4 linked regions of the Coturnix japonica genome follow. The protein of the gene in region 2 binds, or shares a complex with, the protein of the main gene of each other region. Links are inferred from orthologs where the notes say so. Each region holds a gene or a part of one and is shown on either strand. Other genes may lie near its edges.

Evidence for each region. The genes of interacting proteins can lie anywhere in the genome.
Region 1: MED13L (region 2) and MED7 share a complex: the UniProt entries of both Homo sapiens proteins name them as parts of the mediator complex. The link is inferred for Coturnix japonica from reciprocal best matches to the Homo sapiens genes MED13L and MED7.
Region 3: MED13L (region 2) and MED31 share a complex: the UniProt entries of both Homo sapiens proteins name them as parts of the mediator complex. The link is inferred for Coturnix japonica from reciprocal best matches to the Homo sapiens genes MED13L and MED31.
Region 4: MED13L (region 2) and MED23 share a complex: the UniProt entries of both Homo sapiens proteins name them as parts of the mediator complex. The link is inferred for Coturnix japonica from reciprocal best matches to the Homo sapiens genes MED13L and MED23.

Annotation. Positions count from the first base shown.
Region 1 is NC_029528.1:6,561,712-6,565,010, forward strand, and holds MED7 (mediator of RNA polymerase II transcription subunit 7), read right to left. Parts: upstream 2,106-3,299; 5' UTR 2,000-2,105; intron 1,793-1,999; exon of another isoform or gene 1,765-1,792; intron 1,582-1,764; 5' UTR 1,564-1,581; coding exon 871-1,563; 3' UTR 511-870; downstream 1-510. UniProt on the Homo sapiens protein: Component of the Mediator complex, a coactivator involved in the regulated transcription of nearly all RNA polymerase II-dependent genes.
Region 2 is NC_029530.1:10,495,391-10,498,904, reverse strand, and holds part of MED13L (mediator of RNA polymerase II transcription subunit 13-like), read right to left. Parts: intron 2,805-3,514; coding exon 2,643-2,804; intron 515-2,642; coding exon 402-514; intron 1-401. UniProt on the Homo sapiens protein: Component of the Mediator complex, a coactivator involved in the regulated transcription of nearly all RNA polymerase II-dependent genes.
Region 3 is NC_029534.1:8,576,570-8,580,601, reverse strand, and holds the start of MED31 (mediator of RNA polymerase II transcription subunit 31), read right to left. Parts: upstream 2,811-4,032; 5' UTR 2,650-2,810; coding exon 2,640-2,649; intron 1,439-2,639; coding exon 1,361-1,438; intron 771-1,360; coding exon 674-770; intron 1-673. UniProt on the Homo sapiens protein: Component of the Mediator complex, a coactivator involved in the regulated transcription of nearly all RNA polymerase II-dependent genes.
Region 4 is NC_029518.1:51,917,781-51,921,889, reverse strand, and holds the start of MED23 (mediator of RNA polymerase II transcription subunit 23), read right to left. Parts: upstream 2,811-4,109; 5' UTR 2,714-2,810; coding exon 2,666-2,713; intron 326-2,665; coding exon 294-325; intron 191-293; coding exon 103-190; intron 1-102. UniProt on the Homo sapiens protein: Required for transcriptional activation subsequent to the assembly of the pre-initiation complex. Component of the Mediator complex, a coactivator involved in the regulated transcription of nearly all RNA polymerase II-dependent genes.

The DNA.
Region 1 (3,299 bases), on a different chromosome or scaffold from region 2:
TCAGTTCATCTTTAGCTACAGCGATCTCAATCCCACCACCCAATGGTTAAAATCTACCTGCACATTTAAATAAATCTGCATGCCTGAAAACAGCTGAATTATCCAAGTTATAATTTGCATAACGAGAGTTACAAGTAGTTATAGTAAGTTCCCTCATCCACAAAGTTGATTGTTTCTTTTCTTTCTCTCTTTTTTTTAAAGGTGCTACATCTAGTTTGGAAAGCAGACATGCTACAGACAGGAGGGCTTGAGTAACGAAGCCACTTATCCATTATCAAATCACTCTTTGTGCCATGGGCTTGATCCAAGTCCAGTTCTCTTTAAACACAACTGATGTAGCTTCCATTTGACAGACTTCAGGCACAGACAAGTTACACCACATTACATGTGTAATAAAGCAATTCTTAAGTTCTTTAACATTGTTACATTACTACAAAAAGTTAGAAAGGAATGGATTTCTCAGGCTTCATATTGATTTCATCTTCAATCTAGAATAACTGAAAAGACCCATTTAACGTGTAAACAACTAACATTTATTTGAAATGCAGGAATTGTCAGCTTCCATTTCAGTCAGCCAAACCCCCTGCTTCCAGCAGCACACGGCATTTACAAAATGAAGCACATCCCAGAAAGCTGCAAGTGACAAAACAACGTTATACAAAAAACCTAACAGCATCCACGCTGCACAAAGCAGAGTTATGTTTTGACCAATACACATATAACTCACACAAAATATTAAATATCCTCACCTGCTTAGCAGCTCACACCCACCCCCCAAGTCAGTGTGAACGCTTCAAACAAAATACAGCATGTACCCTCAGAATCCATTTGGCCTCTCTCTATTGTAAGTTAACATAAGACACGATTCCTTCATGTCATTTCATCAATAATGCTGCACATAGCTGCATCTTTGTCTAACACCTGATCTCTCTTGCAGCCAGAACGTTCTCTCTGTTTTTCACTCTGTCCAATGCAGTTGTTGCCGTCATCAGTGTCCATTGGTTCTGTTTTCACTCCCAGTCCCCCCTCTGAATGAGGAAGATCATCAGGCAAGGACGCCAGGCAGTTCTGAATCATCTCCACAACTCGCTCTAAATGCTTCTGAAATCGCTCTGCAGTTTCCAGACGCTGACGTTTCTGCACTTCCATCATGACTCGCAGGGTCTCCCTAGCTTGGTGAGGACGGTACTCGTTTATAAGATGATGGACGTGAACAAAAAGCAGTTTCAGGTCCTCCAGTTTCTCTTCTCGCTTTATACTCCCCGGACTCCTTATCAAGATATCCAAGAGATCCAAAAAGTTGACTAAGATAGACATGTTCAGTTTCCTCAATTCCTTTTTGTGATCAAACTGCATGGGATGCAGCCGCTCAATACCCTGGCTTTCCAAAGGTCGGATAATTAAATCGTCACACTGGAACTGATTACCAAACATCATGTAACTGTCTTTCACAGGTGGAGGTGGCTTTGGGGCCAGACCTTTGCGTATGTTTTCATCGGTGTATTCCTTTATATACTGCATTGGAGGCGGAGGGAGGGCACTCACTTGCTGAGGTTCACCCATCTTTGGGGATTAAAATACCTAGTGGATAGAAAAGAAACGTGCATTACATAACTTATGCGACAACTCCACAGCACGCATGAAGCTAAGAAAACAAACCAGACAGGAGATTCTTCAGCACGCAAATAGCAGGAAACTCCCCAATAAATCCACGTCAGCTTTGCACTGACATACACAGCACATTAAGCACTTCTCAAACCAGACCTGCCAACGAGGAGGCACAGAAGGAAGGAGAGGCCTGATCCGCTAAGCCCGCATCCCAGGGCTGGGAGCGGCAGACAACGGCAGGCAGGGAGAGGCAGCCCTTAAAGCAGCACCCCCCTCCCCCCCGGCCCATCACTACAGCACGGCTCCGGGAGGGCCCAAAGCCGCAATGCTGAACAGAAACAAAGGCTGGGCCGGTCCTACACACAAGGCCCAAAGAAAACACCCCACTCACCTGCACACCGCGCTGAAAACACCACCGCCACCACCGACACCAACACCTCACATCCGGCAACTGCTCTCCTTCCTCCTCCCCTCCATTGGCTCGCAGCTCAAATGGCGTCGTAGACTTTGGTTGGATGCCCGCAATGCCAGTCAGGAGCTCGTTCCACTCACAGCCTGGGCTATGGCGCCCTATTGCGGCTGCCAGGGGCACGGCAGGGATCTCAGCGGGGGTCCCAGCAGGGTCCTCTAATGGCAGAGATCCTCGAATGGCAGAGATGGGAGCGGCCGGCCCGACTCTTGTCGGCATCAGACTCCCTGTGAGACCAACTTCTGCATGAATTGGTGTTTAGTATTTGGTATTCCAGGACTGCTTTCATAGACTCGTAGAACTGCCCTCGTTCAGACGCTTCCTGGACTCTGGTGAGCTCAGTGCCCAGACCGTGGGGAGCCGCCGGTGTGATGGCAATGCTTTAACTGCTGAATGATGCAGGGAATATATGTAGAGCTTCCATGCAACAGAAATTTGGGTGTTATTCCATCACAAAGTGAAAGCATCACCCTGGGAAGTGTTAGCATCCTTTCTATAGCTGAACACATGCAGCCTGGATGCATAAAGTCTGCAACAAACCGATGGAACTTCTTGCTTTTCTTCCATTTCTTTGTTTAAGACAGATTTTAAGGAAAAAAACAACTATCTGTGTCTTCCATATTGCCGTGGGACCTCGGGCTGGCTGGCAGCGCTTCTGCAGATGGCCACTGGTCTGGCAATGCGGCTTTTGTGCTCTGATTTCCTTTTTTCCTCAGCAGATGGCAGTAACCTCCTTCATAAGAAGGAATAAGGGTAAGAGAGCCGCTGTCTACGTGCCCTATCAAGGGCAGAGTTGTTTCTAAATATTACTTCAGTGCACTCTCACTACTTTGTAGGATTGGCAGGTGTTGGTTTGCAGAGCAAACTGTTGCAACTCCAAACCCCACAGACAAGGAGTTAAAAGCACCACTTCTAGAGAGGAATGAGAAAACCCACCTGGTGGGGGATATTAACAAGTCTTTGCTATTGTTAGACTTTCCAGACTTTGATTTCACATTCTCATACCACGAGCTGAGCTCGATTATCAGCTGCCTTGCACTCTGTGAACTGCTCAGTACAGCTCTCAGTGCTGTGACTTCAAAAGGTAGCAGGGAGCCAAGCATTTGTTTTTCACACGTCCTTTTGATCTTGAGTCATTTTCCTAGTTTGCACGTAGAGGCCAACAAATGCAAAAAGAAAAAGGGGTTTCATTTTCATTCTTGGTAGTATGACTGAGATGACT
Region 2 (3,514 bases):
ATAGAGGGTATCAGGAGAGAACTTCTACCTCCTTTGATAACTCAGTTTGATTTGGTGACTAAAAATAATTATTTACACAGGCCAGCTCAGACTTTCAGCTAAAACAAATCATCTTTGGGAGGCAAACCAAGGCACTCTCTTTGTAAGGCACAAATTATTCCTCTTCATTGCTTTGCAGAGTAGGATAGAAAAGTGAAGAAGTAACCCTCAAAGCTCTGTTCTTTTGTTGTGATCATAGGATCTGTGGTATATGTAATATGTAATTTTGTTTATTAAAAAACACGTGTAGGATATAATAGAGGTGTAAACTGTTGATAAGCATAAAAAAAGGTCCCTCTGAAATTTCATTCCTGAGTCCCCATAAGTCAAGAGATGAAATGCAAAAAGTGAGAAGGCATTACCTCAAGACATCTGATGTAGTTTTAGAGTCAAGGGGGTGAGGAACTCGCTGAGAACTTCTGGCAGGTAGTAGTTCATCTGTCTGTGCTATGGAGATGTGATGATGCAACGAGGCCTGTGAAAGTAAAATCAAACGAAACAAAAAAGAACCATTTAACTCTTTGCATAGCAAGTATGAAGATTCACAGTGAACAAATACGCCCTGAATTGTCTCAGGACAGCTGGCAGTTCTCTGTGGAACCCACCAGGACCAAGTGCATTTTGAAGTTCCATAACGATTACACTTTTGAATAAAATGACTGCTTTTTCTGATTGGAATTAAGGACCTTTAAAAAGCATCCTGAATTCCACTCTTAATTTCAGTCAGGGAAGAAGTGATGAGGGAAAACACTTGGAGTATGTCAGTGTTTCTTTTTGCATTTCAGCAATATAGGATTTTAATTCTTCAAACTCTCCCATTTAGTAGACCCACCACGGAGAACCAGACCCACCACGGACTGAGATATCCAACCAGAACACAGCACAGCCTTCCTCTTGCTCTCTGCTACCGTGCCTTCTGAATAGCAATCAGTCTTTGTTTCTGGAGTGAGGTTTGTGCCTTGGTTTACACAGGAACAGAAAAGCGATTTCATATTGATCATGTGCCAGGGGTAGAGGCAACCATGTAAGCCTTTCAAGTGGGTAACTCAATAGACCACATGGCCTGCTGGGGCAAGACCTTGAGTTTGTGCTCTGCCAGTTGCAGCATGCACCTCAGAGGTGGAATGCTTCAGCTCAAAAAGACTTAATCCAAATCAGACAGAGATGACTTAAATCTTTACGTCTCACGTGTTGTGCAGGTTTCCTAACTGCAGCGCCATGCAGCACAAAGGAGACAGCACCAGCTGCTCTCTGAGCACTTACAAGTTACTGCACGAATTCAGCCCCTTGCTTTTATTAAAAATTGTCCAAACCGTAACAGTACATTCCAAGTCAAATTAAACATTTAATTCAGCTTGGATCTGAGAAAGCAATTGCGTTGGGTTAAGGGGGAAGGGTGGTGGCTCCTTCTCTCCAGTATAAATCTAGCATAGGCTTACAGAAGGAATTCATGGAGTTGCCTAGAGCTCTGCTGTGTTTTTAAAGCTGGAACTGAAACACAGCTTTTGTATTATTACTCATTCACAAAGAAAGGTAGTTTTAAGTTTAGGATAAAACTTCATCTCTAGGTCCAAAAATACAGTGCCTTATTTTTCACATTAGTTTGAGATCTCTATTCCACAGGTTTGGAGTGAAGCACATAATTCTGGGAAGCCTCTATGAAAACGTGGGGAACTTGGTAGGTGATCTCATTTAACTGAGTACTGCAGTACTTTGCCAACAGATGCTGAAATGAACATAAAGCCTGCCACACCAACTGCAACAATCATTCTCAAATTATCAGTCCTAAAATGGCTTTCTGGCATAAGAATTGAGAAATATTATACACCTTTACTCTGATGACTGCCTGATATACATGTTTGAGAGAATTTAGCTAAGAGACTTCACGAAATGCTTTGTATGTGTCAATTAAGCTGAGAATGGATAAATAAAATGTTACTATCTTAATTACTTTCTATTTTGCTTGCTCGAGTATCCACATGACTCTATCCAAGGCAGATTTTTCACCTTTTTTCCACGCTCACTAGCTGACAACATCCCAGTAAAAAACAGCATGTCACTCTACAGTGGTGAATGAATCTGTAGTATTTGATCCAGTTCAGCTATTGCAAGCAATATACCAGTACCTCTTGCAAGAAACAGCAGTCTTCTGCATTGGCAAATACCAGATAAACTCTGATACTACAGACAACGCCATGCAACTTTTTACATCTACAGGAATAGGAACACATAGCAAAAGCTCTGTGTGGGAGTGCTGCTCTCTAACCTTTTCATCTCTGTATTATGATATGATATGGCAGAATAGGAGGTAATGCGTCTCCTGTCGTGGGCTAACTGAAATTTAGGAAATTAAAATTGGGGAAGACTGGATACAGCATTGATGATTTTGTATTTAGAAGCTGCCAAACTATTCAATTTTCAGGTAATAGAGAGTAAATGCTAATAGCCAGCTGTCTTCAGTGAATTTATATCTGGAAATGTATTTCTTCATTATTTCCAACTGTCAGAAGAAGCAACACAAAGCTGTCATTTTCAAAGGAATTGTGTAGGATCTAAATACAATTCTTCCCCCCTTTCCACTGAGAAAGATCAGCAAGACAGACCTTCAGGAAGAGAGGACACTGGTTTTGTGCCTGAGGACAGGATGACCAGAACCACTGCGGAAGATTCTCAGCTTTGGCAGTCGACACGAAGTATCCGAGAGCAAGAGGCTGCTGCTTCAATTCTTCAGGGGCTTCTCTGGAAAGGAGACGTTCCCCTTGGCTCTGAAATAAGAATTGAAGGCACATTTGTCACTTTACGTCATTACATCTCCCTCCAATAACTTATGTTTTGCTTACTAATCAGTCTTGGATACAGTTCTGTCTTGCTATTAATGAGCTATCCTCCAGTCATCTGTGAATCTTTGTGCTTTCCTTTTTCCCTTACGCTTGGGCAACCAAACGGCAAGTTAAGATCCTACGCTGTGTTGAGCTTATGGGGAGGTGGCTGCTACAGGGTCTCTTAGAGGTAATGGACTCTGGCTATGAATCTGAACAGCTTCTGGTGGGCACACAGAGGAGAGCAGTACTGACTGTGGCGATACAGCCTCACCAAGTTTACATAGCCTGACAGAATTTTCCCATTCCTGGGAATACCAGTTTGAACTGACAAACATCCTGAAGGGAATGTTTGGGGAAGGATGTGTTATGCACCCAAGTATATAAGATACCCTTGGGTGCATATCCTTGATATAAGAATAACCTGGACAGAAGAAACTATGTTTTATATTTATACTACCAAGCAGATGAAGTATAGGAAAAAAAGAAACAGATGTCCCGCTTTCCTATTTGTATCATTTATTTATATACTGTATTTTGTAGTATTAGTTACTCATGTTCTTGCATAGTGACAAAACAGTTACTAAGAGACAGGAGTTAAGCAACTTTAAAAGGCTTTACTAGCAATTTCGTCAAACTTTGGGCTGCAGCCTGTC
Region 3 (4,032 bases), on a different chromosome or scaffold from region 2:
CACAATTTACAAGGTGCACTAGAACTGGAGTCTCCAGTATCTCTCCATTATTTTAGTCATTTAGTGCCTTACTCAAGTACCTGAAACAGTGAGCGCTGTACCTTTTCCATACACTGTAACTTAATACCTTCAGTAACTACAAGGCTAGAAAACAGGGAATCCAATAACAATATAAATACATACACGGAGCTGATTAAAATAACTTTTATAAATACTAGATTTCATTAAAACAAAAACTAATTAATTAAATAGCTCTTTCCAGAGCTCATTTGAAGTAAACAAAAAAAATTTCAATAACTGAGTTTAAACATTAATTAAAAAAATGAAAAAAAACGATTCTTTGTGTAGCTATCAACAGGGCAAAAATCACTCTCAGAATGTTCTTAATGGGCTGAAGTAGTTTTGTCCCGTGATGTTCAGTAATCTTGCTTTATGCAGATAGAAGGTGCAGATAAAGGTTGCAAATGGAAAATTCCATGCATATGTCAAGAATGAAACGTTCTTTAATTGTGCCTATCCCAGACTACAGGAAACAGGAAAATTTATACTGCATATAAACACAGTGCATGTTTTGGCTGCAGGGAGAAATCAAATATGCACATGCTACTTTACAGTGCATAAGAGAAGGTAAAAATCATTAAAATGCAGAAACCTGAGGGCTTTTAATACTTACTTCAAGTATTTTGCATATTCAGGTTCTTTCCAATACAGTAAATATTTAAGATAGTTTACAAAAGCTTTGTCTTTGAAGTATCCTCTTTGTGCAAGAACTGAAATAAGAGACAAGGAATTTTTTACAACTCAATAAAAAAAAAACACAAAGGGAAAAATATATCTTAAGTCAACACTCTAATACAAGTTAAGCATAGTGAGTTAGCATATAACTTTTATACAGCAACAAGGATGCGATGTCTTCAAAAATAGGAACTTCTGACATCAAAACTGTCAGGGAAAACCAAAGAAATTAAGAATTCCACCTGAAACTATTATAAGCATTAGTGAAATGTTGGTTTCAGATATGAGTACTTCTAAGATTGAAATGTAATTATTATTATTTATTTTCTACTACAGATGTGCACTTATTCTCCACCAGACAGTTGTGTTTTATTTCAAGAAATAATCATTTCACATTTTAAAGGTGTCATCTCCTCCCTCTTCTACCTCACCTTTGAAATTCGGACAAATTAAATTATCCTCAGACTACTTTTTTCCTTAAAGATCTCTTCCCTTTTCTTTGTTTACCCTTCGCCTCTGCACACACACACACACACACACACACACACACAGTTTACCATTACACGTAATCATTAAACTGTTAAATAACATTAACTTCTCAGGATCCCTGACATTAAGTACTCACAGTTGAGGTAATTGGGATTTGCTAGGCACTGAACAAACTCCAACTCCAACTGGAACCTAAGTCGATTTCCTGTATCATCTGAATACAAGAGAAAAAAAAAAAACAGTAAAAACTGGACTTACATGGCAGATTTAAAAGTAAGTTTCTCAACTTGAGCCACAAAAATAGAAACGTTTAGAGAGGAGATAAAGCACCAAGAGCCCACAAGTATGGGCTCATCTAGCAGTCTTTTCTATTACATGAATAAGTGTTGGGCCCATGTTAATACATGTACTATTGTTTGTTTGTTTTTTTAACAACTAAAAACGATGCAAATAATGGAGAAATGCTCTCTGACACTTTATGTAGAATATATGAAAAGGGAAGGGAAAGGGGCCTGCTTTTAGTGCAAGGAAAATATAAGAAGGCAAGAAAAGAACACTACCAGCAGCTCACTGAAAGCCTCCTTGCACATAATTTAAGAAATGCTTACCGTGAGGCTGCTTTTTGTTTTGTTTGTTTTGTACAGAGATGTCTCAGTTTAGTGAGAATCCTGCAGTGTTCTCACACTATTGGTGTACAGTAGGCACTGATGACAGACCCAGGGGTCAGCACAAGATTCTGCTGTCCTATGACAAAAGGGTGAGGGAGCTGGGCTTGCTCAGCCTGGAGAAGGCTCAGGGAGATCTCACTCTGGTCTTTCAGCGTGGAAAGGGAGCTTATAGAAAAATATGTTGACTTTCCACCCTGACTGAAAACAACAGAACAAGAAGGAACAGCTTTAAACTCAAACAATAGGAAACTCAGGTTAGATGTTAGGAAGAAATTCTTCTCCGAGGGGCGGTGAGGCCCCGGCACGGGCCGCCCCTCTCTGTGGGGGCCCCATCCCTGGAGCTGCACAAGGGAAGGCTGGAAGGGGCACCGCGCAGGCCGCTCTGGCGGGAGGTCCGATCTGTAAATAAAGTCCCCTCCATCCAAACACTCGGGGTCTATAAAAGATTCAGCTCCTCGACCACAGATGCAACGTGGGATGTCCGCTGCCATGGCGTCCGGGCAGGTAAGAGCCGCGGTGTCTCCATGAACGTCGCGAAGGGCCCCAACGGGGCCAACGGCCTGAGAAGGGCCAAGCCGGGAGGGCAGCGCAGCAGGACCGCCCCGGGCCCCTCCCGAGGAAAACGATTCGGAGCCTGTCGGCCCATCGCTCCCGAACCGCCCGAACTCTGCACGGCAGGACCACCGACGCTCTCCGTGGCCCGGAGTCGCTCGCCCTGCCCGAACCGCACCGCACCGCGCCGCTCACCTGCGTCCATGGCGGCGTGCTGGGCTCCGCTCCCCGCCCGGCCTCAAAATGGCGGCGGGAGCGCCCGCTGTCGGCAGGCGGGAGTTAGGCGGGAGGCGCAACGAGGCAAGATGGGAAGGTCTGTGGTGGTGAGGAGCTGCGTTAATGATGCGAGTTGTGTAGAAAATGACCTTTTGAAATAAACTAAAGTTGGAGCAACTTTTTTTCCCCTTGTCTTGAAAGAGAGCTGTTACCAGACAGGCAGTACGATTGGAAGGTACCTGTAGGAGCAATGTTCTGGGATGGATTTTTTCCTAGGCATGTGTGTGCTTTTCTTTCTTCCCTTTCCCCTTTTCCTTTTTCCCTTTTCCCTTTCCCTTTTTCCCTTTTCCCCTTTCCCGTTCCCTTTCCCCTTTCCCCCTGGCAGCTCATGCTGAGCTGATCTCACACAACCTCTGCAGTTTATTTATTAAGAAGTTATGTCGTAGTGAAACCAGTTAAACAGATGCGCCAGGGGTGCAGAACAGCACTATGCTATTGCACCTGGAGAAGAGTTCAGCACTTAGGTTGCAGATTTATTCCTAATGCTGCATTCATGTCTGGGGTCACACACTGGATGTTCATATCTTGGTTAAAACAAAGACTGGTGGGGTTTAGCACTGTCAAGCTACCTGAGTTCCATTGCTGCTATGATTGCATTATTAGGCACTTGTGTAACAGTTTGCACTATACAGGCTCAACACGAATCCTAATTCTTTTTTAAAATTTGTGATTTGTTAAACTATTTTCAGTGTCTCAGCATTTTCCTGTAGTGCTATCTCTTTCTATGTAGTGTAACTGTTCCCCTCCAGCCCCAATAGAAATTAGGCTATAAGACCACCTAAAAAAAGACTTCTGCATTGCTTTCCTTAATAAAATAATTTTGTGTTTTGTTTCTTTTTTCCCCAAGGTTTTAGTGGTTGTGGAGTACTACCATTACTATAACAGAATTAGCAGGTCACTCCCCAGTAAATACAGACTTTTGTCTAAAAGCAGAGATCAAACATATCCCACGCATTGGCAGTGCTATTCTGGAACACGATGTATCTCCCAAGACTGACTTCAGAGGAGAGAATCCTAAGAAAGGCTTGGTCACATGAATTAAATTACTACGTAGGTTTGCCAGAGTAAAGTGCAAGAACGCAATTCTTGGCCATCAAAACTAGGAACAAAATTGAAAGTTGGAGTCATATTACAAAAACTAAGAACATTCTCTAGGAAAAGCTGGATTTATTTATGCTTTTAAATATTAGCTTAGTCAGACTTTCAGGGAAGAGGTATTAAGCTGTGTGTTTGAGCCAAGAATTTTCCTTTTTATCATCATCAAATCATAACATCACTGCCTCAGTTTCACTTTTTATAGGAGCTGAACTGC
Region 4 (4,109 bases), on a different chromosome or scaffold from region 2:
AGGATTTGTCCTTTACTCAAAGTTTTACTATACCCCGATCTTCCCCTCCACCGCCCCCCAAAAGTATATAAAGTATACTGAAGAAGCAAATGAAATGTTAACCTGGGAAAGACTGCTCCAGAACTGCCTAAAAGCACCCAGGCAGCTGATCAGTTTGGTTCTCTCATCTTCAGGAGTGTCCATAAACATACTAATTCAAATAAGAAAGTTGGTTATTAGCACTACAGCAAAGGAAGAGCACAAATAGAAATATACACAGAAAGTCACGAAAGTAAACTAACATTTACACTCACCCAGGAAAAGCTTCTTCTATTACCTCAGTTTTCTGCAAGAGAAAAACCTAAAGTGAGTTACTGTGAATCACAGAATCACAAGGTTGGAAAGGACCTACGAGATCATCTAGTCCAACTGTCCTCCCATTGCCCTTGCTACCACAAGCCACTAAACCATATCTCATAGCTCCTCTGTATGACTGAAAAGGCTCTCTATGACTGTCTCACTACCAGGATGCAACAACACTGAAGAAAAACAATCCTACTGTTTCAGGACTGAATCAGAAGCAGGTGCGTTTCTTCTGTTACGCTCAGGTCTCAACATTGAGGCTGCTTGCTTTGAGGATCCAGGTTAAGGCTCCTCTGTTCCCCTCCCTATAAACACCCAGAGATTATTTTATGTCCCAAGGTTGGAAAAATTGTTCAGTTCTGCAACTTGAGCTCTTCTTTCACACTTAGAGATTAAGTTTCTACAGCATTATCCTAATGCATAGGCAAAATTCCTGAAAATAGTACCCTACAGATTGTTTTGCTTTCTATAGAAATTTCATACTACACTCAGATGTGATCGGTAACCACTATGTGTTTCCATCATTACATGGAAGAAATAAACAGTGTTTGAAAAATAAAGAAATTATGGTGATCCTTTCAAATTGCAAGGCCTGGAAACACCTCAAGAGAACATGATATTCATCCACTGTGCACGGAAACTTAAGTTTCACTGCTGTCCATTCAGTCAGTAATAGAAGCAGTGAATGTGACAACTTGATATTTTCTCAGCTGCAAATGCAAGGAAAGCTTAAGACTTTGTTGTCCCTTAACAACTGCAGGCAAAAAAAATACTGCTAAAAAAAAAGAAAGGCAGTGACCACACAGTCAAATCATGGTGTTAAACATGCAAAAACAGAACACAGAATCACAGAATTCTCAGGGTTGGAAAAGACCTAAAAGATCATCCAGTCCAACCATCACCAATACTTCCCAGTTAAATCATATCACTCAACACAACATCCAAACGTTTCTTGAACACTCCCATGGTCGGTGACTCCACCAACTCCCTGGGCAGTGCATTCCAATGCCTGACTACCCTTTCCGAGAAGTAATACTTCCTAATGTCCAGCCTGAATCTCCCCCTGCCGCAGCTTGGAACCATTGCCTCTAGTTCTATCACTGTCTACATGAGAGAAAAGGCTGACCCCAAGCTCACTACAACCTCCCTTCAGGAAGTTATAGAGAGCAATAAGGTCTCCCCTGAGCCTCCTCTTCTCCAGGCTGAACAATCCCAGCTCTCTCAGCCGCTCCTCATAAAGCCTGTGTGACAATAACATGTCAAGAACAAAATGACAATGTCAAGAACAAAACAAACAAATCATCAAGTATGGACAAAAAGCATTCCATAAGCTTAACATCACTTAAAGAAAAGCATATATTGCATTTGCATTTTATAATTCACACACAGAAAGAAAAACTCAGTGTTCCAACCATTTTCACATCAGCTGGGGAGGGACTTTTTACAAAGGCAGACAGCAACAGGACAAGGGGAGAAAACTGGAGGTGAGTAGATTTAGAATAGATATTAGGAATAAATTCCTTACTGTGAGAATGGTAACACTGGAACAGGTTGCCCTGTGAGGCTGTTGATGCCCCCTCCCTGAAAGCTTTCAATGCCAGGCTGGATGGGGCTTTGAGCAACCTAGTCTAGAGAGAGGTGTTCCTGTCTTCAGCAGGAACTGGCTGGAAGCAGATGATCTTAAAGGTCCCTTCCAGCCCAAACCATTCACTCTGTGATTTTCAGTTGCATTGCTCTAGGAGACATACGCATCCCTTCCAGACCAGATACTGCTGGTTCCACCTGACATCAATCAAGCTCCTGTTCTGAACATCCTCATCAAATATCATCCCAGTATTTCTAGCCACAACACTCACTAATATCCACGAGCTACCTAAATCTACTAAGAAACTGCCAACAGAGTTGCCTTGCTAATTAACTCATAGTTCTGCTTATCTTTTCCTTCTTCTAAGCTCATCTTCTTCCCCTTCCACTATGCAGATGGATTCTTTCTCCTTGCAAGCTGCCCCTAATTCAGCACCAGCCTCAAACGCCTTACAGAACCGCTCAGAGAAGGAATTTTTGCTCTGAGGAATCGTTTCCGCACCGCACTCCGCGGTCCCACCGCACACAGCCGAGGATGAGGGCAGCCTTCCCAGCGCCGGCCTCTCCCCGCACCACGCAGCCATGGCGATACCCCAACCCCTTCTCCCTTTCTTTACCTCCTCCGCCGCTCGCCCCCAACCGCGGGCCTCAGGAAGCAGCTCCCCTAGAGCACAGGGCCCACTGCGGGATGCCGGCTGAGCAGCCTAGAAAGGCCGCGGCCCGGCCGGGACACACTCACCACCACCTCTTCGAAGATGCTCTGCAGCTGCGTTTCCATAGGCACCATAGCCCCGGCCGGGCCTCACCGGGCCCTCCGTTAGATGGACACGGAGCGGCAGGACTCCCTTCCCGACGGAAGTTCCCTCCCCCCGGCTGTCACGGAGTTCCGGCGGAGCGGGGTGAGCGCAGCGCCTGCGCGTACAGCAGTGCGTGTATGTGTTGGGTGCTGGTATGGAGGGTCAGCACTGCATCCCTGTGCCGAGGCTGCTGTTAGTTCTATCAGTCGAACGACGGATGCCCCATCCTTGGAGGTGTTCAAGACCAGGTTGGACGGGGCCCTGGGCAACCTGATCTAGTAAAGGTGTATGTTTGGTGGCCCTGCCAGGCAGGGGGGTTGGAACTACGTGATCCTTGAGGTCCCTTCCAACCCGGGTCATTCTGTGATTCTGCGTGATTCTGTAACGTGTAGGAGCAGCTCTTGCTCACAGTGGGCAGATTGGCTGGTCTATTTACTAAATGGTAGCACTGAAGAGAATTACCTACCGCAATTTTTTGTCAAACTCAAAATCCATTCCCATCATAGGATGGGAAATGGAGGCCTGAAGAGGTTGTCAAGTGCATTTTATAGCGTGAGGACCCTATCTGTTAGCTCACAGGATAACAGCAGTTTTCAGCCATGTCTTCAGCATGCCCTAAGATGTACCAAGCCCATTTTTATCATTAAAATTGGGTTACAAGGTAGTTTTGAACTCCATAAGACGTCCCAACAGTGACTGAGATCATGAATTAACTCTCATTGTATTGGGTTTGTGTGCCAAGGCAGTAGGAACTGCAGAGATGGCCTCTGTGAGCAGGGACCAGCACTGCCTCGCATCAGATGAGAACCAGCTCCAGCTGCTCCAACAGAGACCTGATGCTGGGCAGAACTCAGCCACAAGCAACACTGTGTGTCCCATTGGGAAAACGAACTAAAGAAAAGAGAAAGCATCTGTACTGGGCAATGTGAGTGAGAAATGTGAGAGAAACAGCCCAGCAGCCCCCTGCGTTGGTGCAGGAGGACAGGAGCTGGTGCAAGCTGTAATGATATCATTAAGCTTGGTAAGTCTCTTGATGGATAACCCTGTCATTTGTTTAGACAACAGGAAGAGTCTGTGTTTTTGTACCAAACAGATAGAGTTCTGTTAAGTCTTTGTACTAAGTAGATAAGGAAGTTCTGCTTGGAATCCATTGTGAAAGCAAGTATTGAATATGTATATGCCTCTGGGAAAACCTCTGGGTATGTAACACAAGTAATGTAAATGAACTGAATATCTTTTGTGCAAGGTATGCACAAAATGGTGGTGGAGCTCAACACCCATGCATCCAGACTTGATTATAATAAAGAATGGTAGCTTTCTATCATTCCAATTTAAGTTATAGAGAGTTTCATGATAGACCAGTTTATGGTATCCAAGGTTGCTCCA